Linked DNA regions of Neurospora crassa OR74A. The protein of the gene in region 2 interacts with the protein of the main gene of each other region in a pairwise test. Links are inferred from orthologs where the notes say so. Each region holds a gene or a part of one and is shown on either strand. Other genes may lie near its edges.

What was found. The genes of interacting proteins can lie anywhere in the genome.
Region 1: the proteins of mei-3 (region 2) and mus-25 interact in binary tests that used the Schizosaccharomyces pombe proteins (3 or more experiments, as listed by UniProt). The link is inferred for Neurospora crassa OR74A from reciprocal best matches to the Schizosaccharomyces pombe genes rad51 and rad54.
Region 3: the proteins of mei-3 (region 2) and NCU05778 interact in a two-hybrid assay, tested with the Schizosaccharomyces pombe proteins (2 studies listed by BioGRID). The link is inferred for Neurospora crassa OR74A from reciprocal best matches to the Schizosaccharomyces pombe genes rad51 and isu1.

What each region holds. Positions count from the first base shown.
Region 1 is NC_026507.1:2,823,264-2,827,488, forward strand, and holds the start of mus-25 (DNA repair and recombination protein RAD54), read right to left. Parts: upstream 2,861-4,225; 5' UTR 2,620-2,860; coding exon 2,618-2,619; intron 2,515-2,617; coding exon 9-2,514; 3' UTR 1-8. Other genes in the region: NCU02347 (Sec7 domain-containing protein), read right to left, coding at 3,446-4,225. UniProt on the Schizosaccharomyces pombe protein: Plays an essential role in homologous recombination (HR) which is a major pathway for repairing DNA double-strand breaks (DSBs), single-stranded DNA (ssDNA) gaps, and stalled or collapsed replication forks.
Region 2 is NC_026501.1:3,388,660-3,392,347, reverse strand, and holds mei-3 (MEI3), read right to left. Parts: upstream 2,233-3,688; 5' UTR 2,015-2,232; coding exon 1,919-2,014; intron 1,858-1,918; coding exon 1,710-1,857; intron 1,638-1,709; coding exon 820-1,637; 3' UTR 549-819; downstream 1-548. Other genes in the region: NCU02740 (hypothetical protein), read right to left, coding at 3,055-3,688. UniProt on the Schizosaccharomyces pombe protein: Required both for recombination and for the repair of DNA damage caused by X-rays. Binds to single and double-stranded DNA, in the presence of magnesium, and exhibits DNA-dependent ATPase activity.
Region 3 is NC_026507.1:3,797,059-3,801,055, reverse strand, and holds NCU05778 (iron sulfur cluster assembly protein 1), read right to left. Parts: upstream 2,450-3,997; 5' UTR 2,220-2,449; coding exon 2,078-2,219; intron 1,980-2,077; coding exon 1,805-1,979; intron 1,348-1,804; coding exon 1,257-1,347; intron 1,176-1,256; coding exon 1,026-1,175; 3' UTR 561-1,025; downstream 1-560. Other genes in the region: NCU05779 (hypothetical protein), read right to left, coding at 1-316; NCU05777 (ubiquitin carboxyl-terminal hydrolase 14), read left to right, coding at 3,488-3,515, 3,635-3,702, 3,790-3,997. UniProt on the Schizosaccharomyces pombe protein: Scaffold protein for the de novo synthesis of iron-sulfur (Fe-S) clusters within mitochondria, which is required for maturation of both mitochondrial and cytoplasmic [2Fe-2S] and [4Fe-4S] proteins.

The sequences.
Region 1 (4,225 bases), on a different chromosome or scaffold from region 2:
CCACCCACTCAATGAGAAATATACTGAAACACAGCACTAACATCCCTCTCCCCAACCTCCTGCCTCAACAAATGATCATGAATGCTCTTCATCCCTCCACTACCACCATTCGGGTCGCCGCCCTTTCCACTCTTACCCGCCGCGTCCTCGCCCTCCCAATGGTTAACAAAGTGATTCCAAGTACTAGTATCGCCATACAACATGGCCTGCGCCTTCATATACTGCCTCCCATCCGGTTTACACCGCTTACACTTGAACGTGTCATGGGTATCGCTCTTGGTCCCGGGTCTATAAGTGAACAGCTCGCGCAGCGAGTCCAGAGAAAAGTGTCTCTCCACATCCTCGGCGCTGTCGACGACGCACGACGACAGGGATTGCTTGTGGCTCTGCCGCTGGAAGATCTTTTCTTCAATGGTACCCGTGGCGATGAAGCGATAGACAAAACAGTCCTTCTTCTGGCCATCACGCCACACACGCGCCAGCGCCTGCTGATCCGCTGCTGGATTCCAGTCCGGGTCGAAGAGGACGAGCCGGTTGGCACCAATCAGGTTGAGGCCGCACCCACCGGCTTTGGAAGAGAGCAAAAAGACAAACTCGTCGCCTTCCGGGTCGTTGAACTTGTCGACAAGTTTTTGGCGTTTGTTGACGTTCATGGTACCGTCTAGTCGGAGACAACCGTATTGCCGGTTGCGGCAGAGACGCTCAAAGAGGTCAAGCGTTTGGGTGTAGTTGCTGATGAGCACAATCTTGTCATTGGTGTCGGCGCGGATGCGGGCGAGCATGCGGTCGAGCACTTGCATCTTTCCGGAGTACCATGGCTTGACGTCGCGGTCACGGCCACGCGCTTCCTTTGGTACGTAGTCTTCTGGCCAGTACTGCTCACAGCCAGGCAGATCGGCCGATAGGTCGAGCAGGTCTGGGTGGTTGCAGAGCTTCTTGAGGATGTTGATGGCCTTGAGAGGTTGAGAGCCCTTGCCGCGCAGGAGAGCTTGGATGTCGGGGGAGGCGACAAAGTAGTTATACAAGTCAAGCTGGAAGGGAGCGAGGTTGCAGAAGACAACGTGCTCGTACTTCACGGGGAGGTACTTGGAAAGAATGTCGTTGGTACGACGAATGATGAACTTGTTGACGATGGCAAGGAGTTCAACCAGGCACTCGTCACCACGCTTCCGCTCAGCTTCCGAGGCGTCAGCATCGCGGCCGCGTAGAATCGGAATCTCGAAGCGTTTGCGGAACTCGAGACGAGTACCGAGGAGATCCGGGTTGGCGAAGCTGATCAGAGCAAAGTACTCTGACAGGTCGTTCTGAATGGGTGTACCCGACAAGATGACCCTCCTCGAAACATTCAGGCTGTTCAAGGCACTGAACGTCTGACTGTCTCCGTTCTTCAGGCGGTGGCCCTCGTCGCAAAGCATCAACCCAATGGGAGTCCCCTTAAGCTCGTCCACATTAAGCCTTAGCGTCTCGTACGAGACAATAATCACCGGTCTCGTCACGGACCGTCCACTGGCAATCGCCCACTGCCGCAGCTGCCTCGTCAACTCCTCCTTCGAGGCCTTTCCATCAATGGCAAAGGGCGTGATAGCGTCCGCGCCCAACCATTTGACCAACTCATTCGCCCAATTCCTGACCAAACTTGATGGACACGCCACAATCGCCTTTTGGATCGTTGACTTTCCAGCATCCGGCGACTGCTTCAACAGCGTCCACAGTAGCGTGATGCACTGCAACGTCTTTCCCAAGCCCATCTCGTCTGCCATGATGCAACCATTCGCCTTCTCATCAATCATGCCCGTCACGCACCGGTACATGAACCGGACACCCTCGATCTGATGCGGCCGCAGCACCTTGGCCAGCCTGGGATCAATGACCACTGGGACACGAGGGTGCTCACCCTCGACTTTCTTCTTGATGCCCAGAATCTCCGCCAGACTCTTGTGCACCAGCGGCGCATCAACCTTGACCTCTGGTTCTTCCTTCTTTTCTTCAATGGCCTCTGGCGCCGTATCCTTGGGCTTATCATCCACTGTCGGATCATACAGCACAATAGCAAACTCGTCGCACGGGTCATGCAGCGGCTTAGCCACAAAGACGGCGCCCTGTCTCAGGCCGAGCGTGGGTGGGGGGCGGTTTGGGTTGTACGCGGTCGTGTTCTTGTTGATGAGCGGCACGGAGAACGCCTTGCGGAATACCTGCGACTTGTCTTTGACCGCGAACACGGGGAACTTGTTGGCGTCGCGGTTGGCGAGGGCGAGCCGGTCGGCGTTGGTGTAGGGCTTGTCGGCGCCATCCTCGTCGTCTTCGCCACCAGCACCTTTATAATCGATCTTTCTGCGCTTTCGTGCCGGCCGGTCGACGGCTACGGTGCGCGTCGCGGAGCCGGGGCATTTGAACGGCTTGGTGAGTTTGTCGAGGGATTGAGGTGTGGGGAACTTGCTGCGTTGAGTGAGAGCGAGACTGTTGGTGCTGTTGTCCTTGGAGGCGGCCTTGGGTGTTGAGACCATGGATGCTGACCTATCGAGATCCAGAGTGTTACTTAGTAGCCGGATGTTGAGAGTGGTGATGTTGGTGATCAATGGTAATAGGAATACATGGGGAGGTTACGGTGTCTGCTTACATCTTCGCTGTAAGGAACGGGCTTTGTTACAACGGCCTCGGTAGCTCCCTAGGAACAACGCTAGACCTGTTTCTCTATTTGGGAGTTTTTTTATTTCACGCCCGTCACTCAAAAGAACAACAACCGAAAAATCCGGAAGGCAAATGAGGGGGGAAGAAAAAAAAAACCACCGCAAAAAGACTGAGAAGCGGGCTCCAGGCAGGAAGATGGCGATTGGCGCCTGCTTACCTTAACAATGTTGACTAAACACAGACTGGACGCGAAGATCGGAAGGGTGGGGGGCGAATCGCGCCTTCCTCACACGGTATCACATGATCTTGGCTAGCTTTCCCTGTTAAGTAGTTACGTAGGTGACTACGCAGTACTATGCACAGTGTGTGGCCAATCCTAACCCTTGATTGTTCGTCTCCACTTTTGCATCATCCACAGTTTCGTCTGATTGGTCACTGTTTGTCACACCTAACAATGCCGTCGTCGTCGTTCTATGTTGAGGGCATTCGCAAATGCTCCTCAGTGAGACCTATGGTCCAGACCGACAAGTGCCAGGAAGGTATTAAATATGTATTCTCAAGTCGTAAGCACCCCAGAAAGTAACGATAGACAGAATTTGTCGTGCATGCATGCTCGCTTGCTCTATGCCATGGTATAACGTAAAGGAAGTGTGTGTGTGTGTGTGTTTGTGGTGTTTAGCGATAAAAGATCCCCGTCCCCATAAAGTCACGCTTGTCATCTTCGCCAAAATCTACCTTGAACGCCTTTGGCCCCTCTTTCTCTTTCTTTCCCAAGCTCTTCACGACATACCATATCATCCATCCATTATGTTGTCCCTTAGCCCTTGACCTCCCTTTCCAGCGACGCATCCATGACCTCACCAGGTGAAGGTTCGCCTTCTCCATCACTGTCAACCACATCCTCACCCCTTGCCGCGCGTCTCGCGTTCTCCCTTTCACGGTAAATCTCCGACCTCCTGATATCTGCCTCGCGCAGGCTGTCTACATACGTCCTGTACTTCACAATCTCGTTGAGGAGATGCTGGCTCTTCTTCTCCCAGTTGGTCATCGCCTTGGCCGCGTTCACTGATCGAGGCGAGAATGCCAGAAGCATAGGACTCCTGAGCGAATTATGCTTTTGGAAATCTTCTTCAAGACTCCTGACGTAGGCGATGAGATGCCCAAACTGTTCACGCTCCGAAAGGGTGCTGGGCCGGAGGGACTGCGAGGGCGGTGTCCACTCGGCAATGTGAATCTTATCGCCTGGTAGCTTCGAGGACGATGATGCGTGGTTGGGACGGGGGAGTGCGCCGGGGCCGCTGAATGTGACACCGAGGGCGCCGCTGCTGGCCGAGCTTCCCGGCCGACCAAAGTCGAAAGAAGAGCTTCTAACACTGCGTCGACTATGGAGCGAGGCACGGCTGCCAGAGATCGTGCTGGAAACCGCCATCGCTGCCATTGCCGATGCCGCGTTTGCTGCGCTGCCAGGGCGTGAATGGCCCTTGTAGTTGCTGCTGACGCTGTTGCTAGCAGGACGCCCGGTAGTTCCACCGCCGCCGCCGCCGCCGCCACCTGTGTTGTTCAGGTCGCCATTACTTTGGATGCCAGACACCCGGGT
Region 2 (3,688 bases):
CGCGCTTTTTGGAGATGCAAACGCGGTTGTTGCTTTTGGCTTCAGAATTTCTGGCCGCCCACTGCAGCAGAAGTTCAACTGTTCAAGTTCCCAAGCACAGCGCAACGCTGCAAGCGTCGGTAGCAGTTGCAGCGGGTCAGTCAATCGCTGGCGTGGTTGGTGGGGAAACTCGGTGCTAAGCCCAAGTATCCCGCGCTAGTGAGAGACTATGCGAATAGGACACACTGCAAGGTGGTACGTCACATCAAGAAGGAAGCAATAGCCTTTGAAATCCGCGATTTTATTAACAACGCTAGATGGATGATAGCCCTTAATCTGTAACTTCAAGTCACAGAGCGTACCTTTTGTCCTGACACATTCCCTCGAAGATTATGTGGTGCATGGCCTGTTGCATCACGAGTATGGACGACAGCAACTTGGATTTCAATGAAATTTCCTTCACGTTAACGAGAGCTTCAGCTTCGGTGGTGAGGTCTTTGGATGATCAAACCTGTGACACTTGCCCTCAGCATCGAGACGCTGCTTCTGCACAGGTCAAATGATCAGTTGGCGAGATGACTTTGACGGCTTCACTTCGTCGATTGTATTAGAAAAAAAAAACAGTGTACCGTAGTTATTGATAACTCTACCAACTCCCAAGTTTTACCAGTCATACCAGACAAGTGTGACGCCAGGCTGCCCTCCCATGCTAACAATAAAAACGCGCTATGCCCATCAAAAACACACATTATCCTTATACCGTCAAATCAGCAGCCCCTTGCGTCCCTAGATTGTTGTATGAATTTCGTGTTGATTTGCTGTCGCCATCCCCACTGCAAACTACTGATTCATCTTCTCCATATCCTTCGGGCTAGGATCACCAATGCCGTCCTCGTTGATGGCAAACAAGCAGTCGCTCTCTGGTAAACATGGGCTGTCGTAGATCTTTGCGATTCTGGTCTCTCCGCGACCCTTCTTCAGGCTGATGCGAGTAGTACTGGCGTGCGCAATGATGTTGCCACCAATTGGTTTTTTGGGGTCTGGATTAAACATGGCAGACGGACCACCATCAACCTGCGCCACGACCTGATTGGTGATCACCACCGCAATACCAAACTCGTCGGCAAGGCGCTGGAGTGTGCGCATAAACTTTGCGAGATGGGTTTGGCGGGAACTGAGTTCGCCACGACCCAAGAAGTCCGTTCTGTAGAGCGAGGTCGCGGAGTCGACAATCAACAGACTGAAGCGGGTCTCGCACATCATGGCTGCGGCCTGGTTCAAGAGCTGCAGCTGATGGTCCGAATTGTAGGCTCTTGCGTACGCAACGTTGTCAAGAACTTCTTCGCCTGAGAGACCGTATCGGTTGGCCACTGCTAGGAGACGCACAGGCCGGAAGGTACCTTCAGTGTCGATGTAGAGACATTTTCCCTCACCACCCCCCATGTCAAATGGGAGCTGGCATGTTACCGCAAGAGTATGGCAGATCTGCGACTTTCCTGTTCTGAACTCTCCAAAGATTTCGGTGACACTGCCGGTCTCGATACCACCAGCCAATAGTGTATCCAGATTTTTGGAGCCTGTCGTGATGGAAATCAGTTCGCTGCGGCGCTGGTGCATCTCCGTCGCAGTAGTAAAACCCATAGGCACAAGTTTAGAGGCTTGATGATAGTGTCAGTAATCATGCACTCCCAAAATGGAACCTCTAGGAATGTCAAATGCTGGCTACTGACCTTCTGCCAGGATTTTCCCTGCCTTTTGCTCCGAAATACCTTTGATCTGCTCCAGTACCCTCCGGGGGGTATAGGCAACAGATTCAACGGTGTTGAAGCCTCCATCAACAATCAGCTGAATGTCTCGCTTGGTAAGTCCGGCAACACCCTAGGCAAGTCAGTTGGTTGTTTGCAATCCGGATGGATCCATCAAAGAAAGTGATCCGTACCTCTAGAGCAGAAAGTGGTGTTGGGGCGCCTGGGTTTGGTATCCCGCTGTCGTCCTCCATGTTGGCAGACTCATCGTACTCCTCGTTGTTCGACATCGTGCTATTTGTTGTGCTCTTCGGTGCAACAATTTCGGGGTTTCTTTACGTTTAGTGATGGTATGTATGACCAGCAGCGAGCGAAAACGTCTTGGATATGGCCACAGAAAAGCAAGACAGAAAGGCGCAAGAAGAAAAAAAAGCGAGCGGGACTGGAGCCAAGGATACGCAAATGTTGACAGAGGCGAAAACAGCAGGCAAGAGCGCGACCCGCGTCCTACAAATTGGGGAAGTGCGACACGTTAACATGTGACCTGGATGACCAATCCAGCCCAGCATGCGGGATACTAATAAGGTACCTACTAGACACCATTGGCCCCGCCGGATGCCTAGATTCAGTGGAGCCCAGACGGGAATGACGGAGGCGACAGGATGGTTCCCCTGTGGGGTCCGCTACAACGAACCGAACGGTCACCCCTGGGGGTTTGTCACTTCATGCCAATTCCGTACACCACAAACACTATGGTACTCCCCGTCAACATTGTCACAGGCGTCTTCGTATTTACGGCGTACACCGATACAGAGATACAGTTTTCATGCTATTTTATTCCTACTGCCCTCTGTCCGAGAACACCCTATCCAAAGAGGAGACAACAACTCTTGCTCATTAGGTTCTCGACGCGGCCGCCTCTTCCGAGTTTTTGCCACCTCGGTTTCTAGGACCAAGTATCACAGTCATTTAACGACGTCTGCCGCCTGTGTCCCATTTGAACAAATCTCAGGGAACACCCACAAAAGAAAACCGCAAGAATGGCCCAACAATGCAACTTTTGGAGAGGCCGATGTATGCTCCTCACTCACTACCTCCATCCATACCCAGACACACGACTACCCTGGCTAATTACCTCACCATCTTCCCTCCCCCCCCTTGCGGACTGTTAAGATGCGTCATGGTTTATCCTGGGCTCTATACCCGGTGTTCCAAGCCTTCCCACAGGTAGGATGTCAAAACCCGTCATCGACTCTCCGAGCAGCAGATCTGTTGTTAGGTGTAAAATGCAAATTCCTAGGCCCCAAGGTCGGCTCAGGGGCAGTGATTATCATGGGCTTCGTATCCTCCTGCTGTGCTGCTGATATATCACCTGCAAGGAGGGAGTGCCAAAGGGATCACCGACGGCGACATCTCTTCTTTCAGCTCCTCTTGGCTCATACAGTCTTTCCCCTCCTTCGCCGCCGCTGGATGAGTTATAGGATCTTCCACTGTCGCTTCTCGGTAACCGCTGATGGGCAGAATCAGCGTAGGAGTCGCCTGATTTAGAATCAGTGATTTGCTGGTCTCGCCTGGTAGGACCACCAATGTGCCCATCCCGGGCCTCTTGTTGTCGTTGGGAGTTTCTGGTCGGCACATAGATGTCATGGACTGCTGGTCTTTGTGGCGGCTGTGCTCCTCCGTCTTGGCCTTCGAGTCTGCGGAGGGTATCTTCGTTCAAAGCATGGGGAACCCGCAAGCCGTGGCGACGAGGGTAATCATGCCTCTGGTCTCGTGGGATGGGTGGGGGGATTGCCCCTGATGAGGCACTCTCCAACGACTCGGAATCCGTCAGTCCTTGCAAGAGTGAGCCGTCGGGGGTGACAGGGCTTCTTGCCGTTGCCGTGACACCTGCCGCCCCCTTTATCTTCTCCCTCCTCTGCTGCTCCGCGCCCAGATACACCAGCGTCACCGCCGAGGTAGGT
Region 3 (3,997 bases), on a different chromosome or scaffold from region 2:
GTTTTTTGTCGTCATCGTCCTCCTTTTCATCTCTACCTTCTTCCCCATCCTCCCCGTTATCGTTCCCTTCCCTCGACTCTCGCTCCCTCCTCAAACCCGCCTTCTGATCAACTTTAGACCACGCCTTAGTTAGGGCAGTATAGCTCGCAAATAACTTGTCGATGACAATGTCGACCGCGTTGAGCTCTCTTCTCAGCTCTTTGATTTTGGACTGGGACGAGCGAAGGGTGGACTCAATGTCGAGCTGGTTGTCTGCCACGTCGCTTGAGAGCTGAGAGCCAAGGGCGGAGAGGTCGGATTCGGGGTCCGTTTCCATGGCTTTTGTGGGAAGGGCGGGTACGTGCTGGTTGATGTGAATTATCGGAGTTGTAAAGGTTAGTGTGAATTATCGGAGTTGTAAAGTGATCTGTGCTGAAGAAGGACCGGGGAGAGAAGAGGCAGGCTGTCGAATGTGGTTGAGAAGTGCCTTATATCGTTAAGGAACGATGAACTGGGTGAGCTAATAGCCGATGGAAGCTTCGATCAAACTAAAAGGAAACAATGACTACAACTGTTTCAAGCACATGATAATCAGTCGTATGGGTGCATTATATGTTGACATTATACCATTCGCATAAGTCATCGTAATAAACATACAAATGGGGACAATGAGGTTGCGGCATAACAGGATAAAAGGTTTAGAAAGGAGAATGAGCTTGCTTTTCTGTTATAACAACGCAGCCAGCAACAACCCAGCCCAAAAAAGTGGTTGTGGTGTTGGACAAACAACAACAACGACAACAAGAAAGAAGAACTACCCACCAAATCAATCCAAAACTCCGAAAGACTCCGCTAATGGATGATATGATAATCCCTTCAAGAACCCCCGCCATGAGAAACAAGAGACAACAAACCCCACGACGCATGCATGGCCGACCTTTTCAAGGTTTGCGGCTCTTTGTGCAAAATCCACTTTTAGCTTTCTCCAACATACAAGCCCCATTAAGATCCTCCCAAGCTGGCTGGCTAATCAGTAGATGACCGGTTTAGGCGGCCTGGGCAGTCTCGAACTTGGCGCCGGTGCCAGCGAGGTTGGTGGGCATGGCGTGGGGGTTCTTGGTGCGGTAGTCCTTGATGGCGGCCTTGATGGCATCCTCAGCAAGCATGCTGCAGTGCAACTTGACAGGGGGGAGGCACTGTGGGTGTTGGGTAACACGGTTAGTTCATAGTGCACGAGAGGCATAGGAGCATGGTACGGAGAACAGGTCTAGACTTACGAGTTCCTTGGCAATCTCGGTGTTCTTAACCTTGGAGGCTTGCTCGAGGGTCATACCGCGGACGAGCTCGGTGACGTAGCTGGAAGAGGCACTGAAGGGAGTTAGTAAGCTGAGCTCAGAACGTTATGGTAACACTAAAGCCTTGGGAAGCCAATGATCAAGCTATCGTCGTTTTTTAGGAATCGTAGGTAGTGAATCCGAGTAGTTCTCGATATCGTTCTCCGTTTGTCGAAGGCGTTGGAAAGGCATGGGGAGGTTATCGCTTATTCGCGCGCACACCCAAGCAGCACTGAAACCTGGGGTGTAACGGCCTGGAGGTTTCAACTTTCAGGTGTCGCATTTCTCTGCTCATCCTCCCTGCTTATGCTGAACCGAGGTGTTGTAGTTGCAACTATACGTCGATGAAACTAGTTTGTCGTCGCTCGCGTTTCATTTGATCGTTGTGTGGTATCAATTTCGTATCGCCCGTGGCTTCGGTCACTTTTTCTTGGCCCCCATGGCTTCCCGAGGCATCCGTGTCTATCAGTGACGAAAGAGACAATACTCACATGGCAGAGCCGCAGCCGAAGGTCTTGAACTTGACGTCGCTGATGACTCCAGTCTCGGGGTCGACCTTGATGTGAAGGCGCATGACATCACCGCAGGCGGGGGCGCCGACGAGACCTTCGCCGACCGACTTGTCCTTCTTGTCGAGGGTACCGACGTTGCGAGGGCGCGAGTAGTCTGATATTGAGACATGTTAGCATCTGTACATGTTTGCCGATATGCCATATCCAAGGTGGAATAGGGCGCGAATGCGTGGCCGCGATGGGAATACTCACGGTCAAGGACCTTCTCGTGGTAGGACCTCTTGGCGACGACGGCAACGGCGGGCGCAATCTGGCGCGCAGCCGGCATGACGGTAGGGCGGACGGCGTTGGCGAGAACGCGGCCGGAAACAGCGCGAACGGATCTGGAAAACATGGTTGCGGATGTGTTGATTGTGATGTTTTTGTTTTGTTTCGTTTCGTTTTGTCTTGGGTTGTTTTGTTGTTTCTGTAGGATAGGTATCGGTGATGCAAGAGACGAGTTCTGGTGATGAGTGGATGGCGAAAAGTCAAAGAGGCCGAGATAAAGAGGTTGGCGGCGGACGGGACTTGGGGATTAAAAGTTGCTGGAATTTGCGGATTTGGCTGCGGATTTGCGGGCTTGCGGCACTTGGTCGCCAAAAAGTCGATGATGACCCAAGGGGGCGACTTGCTGCACTCGGGACTGGGATACGAAAAAGAGGGGTTGGTCAGAGCTCTCCTAACAAAAGCGGAGCACAATCACCAACCAAAACAGCCAGGCTTCTGTTAGGCCAGTGACAAGACGCGCTGCTACGGACATGGGGGGCGTCATCCCCGACGTCGGCTTGGTCGGTTGGACAAAAGAGAGCCAAGACAGTTCTGAGCTCCACTTGCCGCGGAGATAAGATGATCAGATTACGGAACACCGAATGTACCTACGTCTCGCGATTCGGTCGTCGTTGACTTGGAATTCTGGACGATCACTCGCTTCCCTTGGACTTTTTTTTTCCAGCCGACGACAGATGAAAATGCTAAGCACGGGCTTCTACACTATAATGGTACTTAGTCAGGTCCTTGTTCTCTTTTCTTACCTCGTCGAATGGGCATTTCTGTCGCCGTCAAACGTACCTCCCGTCCAAAACTCTGCCTCTTGATTGCAAACTGGAAAATGACACTTTCTTAACAAACCGTATCTGCATTGTCACTGTGTAACGTGCCACAATGTTAAGAAATGCATAACAGATCGTCCACCACCGATACCTAAGCAAGCGCCAATCCCTGCTCCATTGTCCCCAGACTGCAGCACATCATCCCTGTCCGCTGTCACAATCCATGAAACGGCAGCGGGGTTCGAACAAATGGAAGGCGGCAGGGCGAATGCCATGAAGCGCGGTTGCCTGGAACATGGGGATTGGGGAGTGGTTGCTGTCCAGTGCCTGCCGCGTCAGCTAAAGTTACCCCACAACATCATACCTCAGCTCAGCTCACTGCCTGCAGCTACGGCAAGCTTCCATTTTCCTTCACGCTTCTTCCATCTTCTCTTCCTCTGCAATACAACTTCACTTGGCGGTAGACTTCATCCAACAATTCGATGACTTTCTAGTTGTACACAACTACACACCAAGAATACAGACAACATAGCTTGGTTGATTTCATTCATACATCATCGCGAATCCGCCCAACATGTCGTGCCCCCACATCGGGTCCGCAAGTAAGTCTTGCTTATTCCATGTTTGCATGCTCTTTGGAGCTCAGCTCAGCTTCCATCATGTGTGGTGCGCCTCTAACTCAGGACTGGACAACGTATTTCTGACACACCGATTCTAACAGACCTCGCGAAGCCGTCGCCTACCGACAATGTCTACCGCGAGGATTGTACCCAATGCTTCGATTCCATTGTCCGTACTCTATCCTGGCCTTTCCTCTCTTCTTCTAGCCCCATCTACCATGTCCAGCCTAGCAACTAACCGCCTCGCTGTAAATAGGACGACCCAGCTGGTCTGGATGTCTGCTTAAAGTGCTTTAACGGAGGCTGCGCTGGCGACCGGAATCACGCAAAGCTCCATGCCACCTCGCGAAACCACCCGCTCGTCCTCAACATTCGCCGAACCCGCAAGATCATCGAGCGCAATGAGCCGCCTCTCAAGATGTCCAAGCTCGCCATCGCGGCCGAGACCGAAAGCGATCGCTACG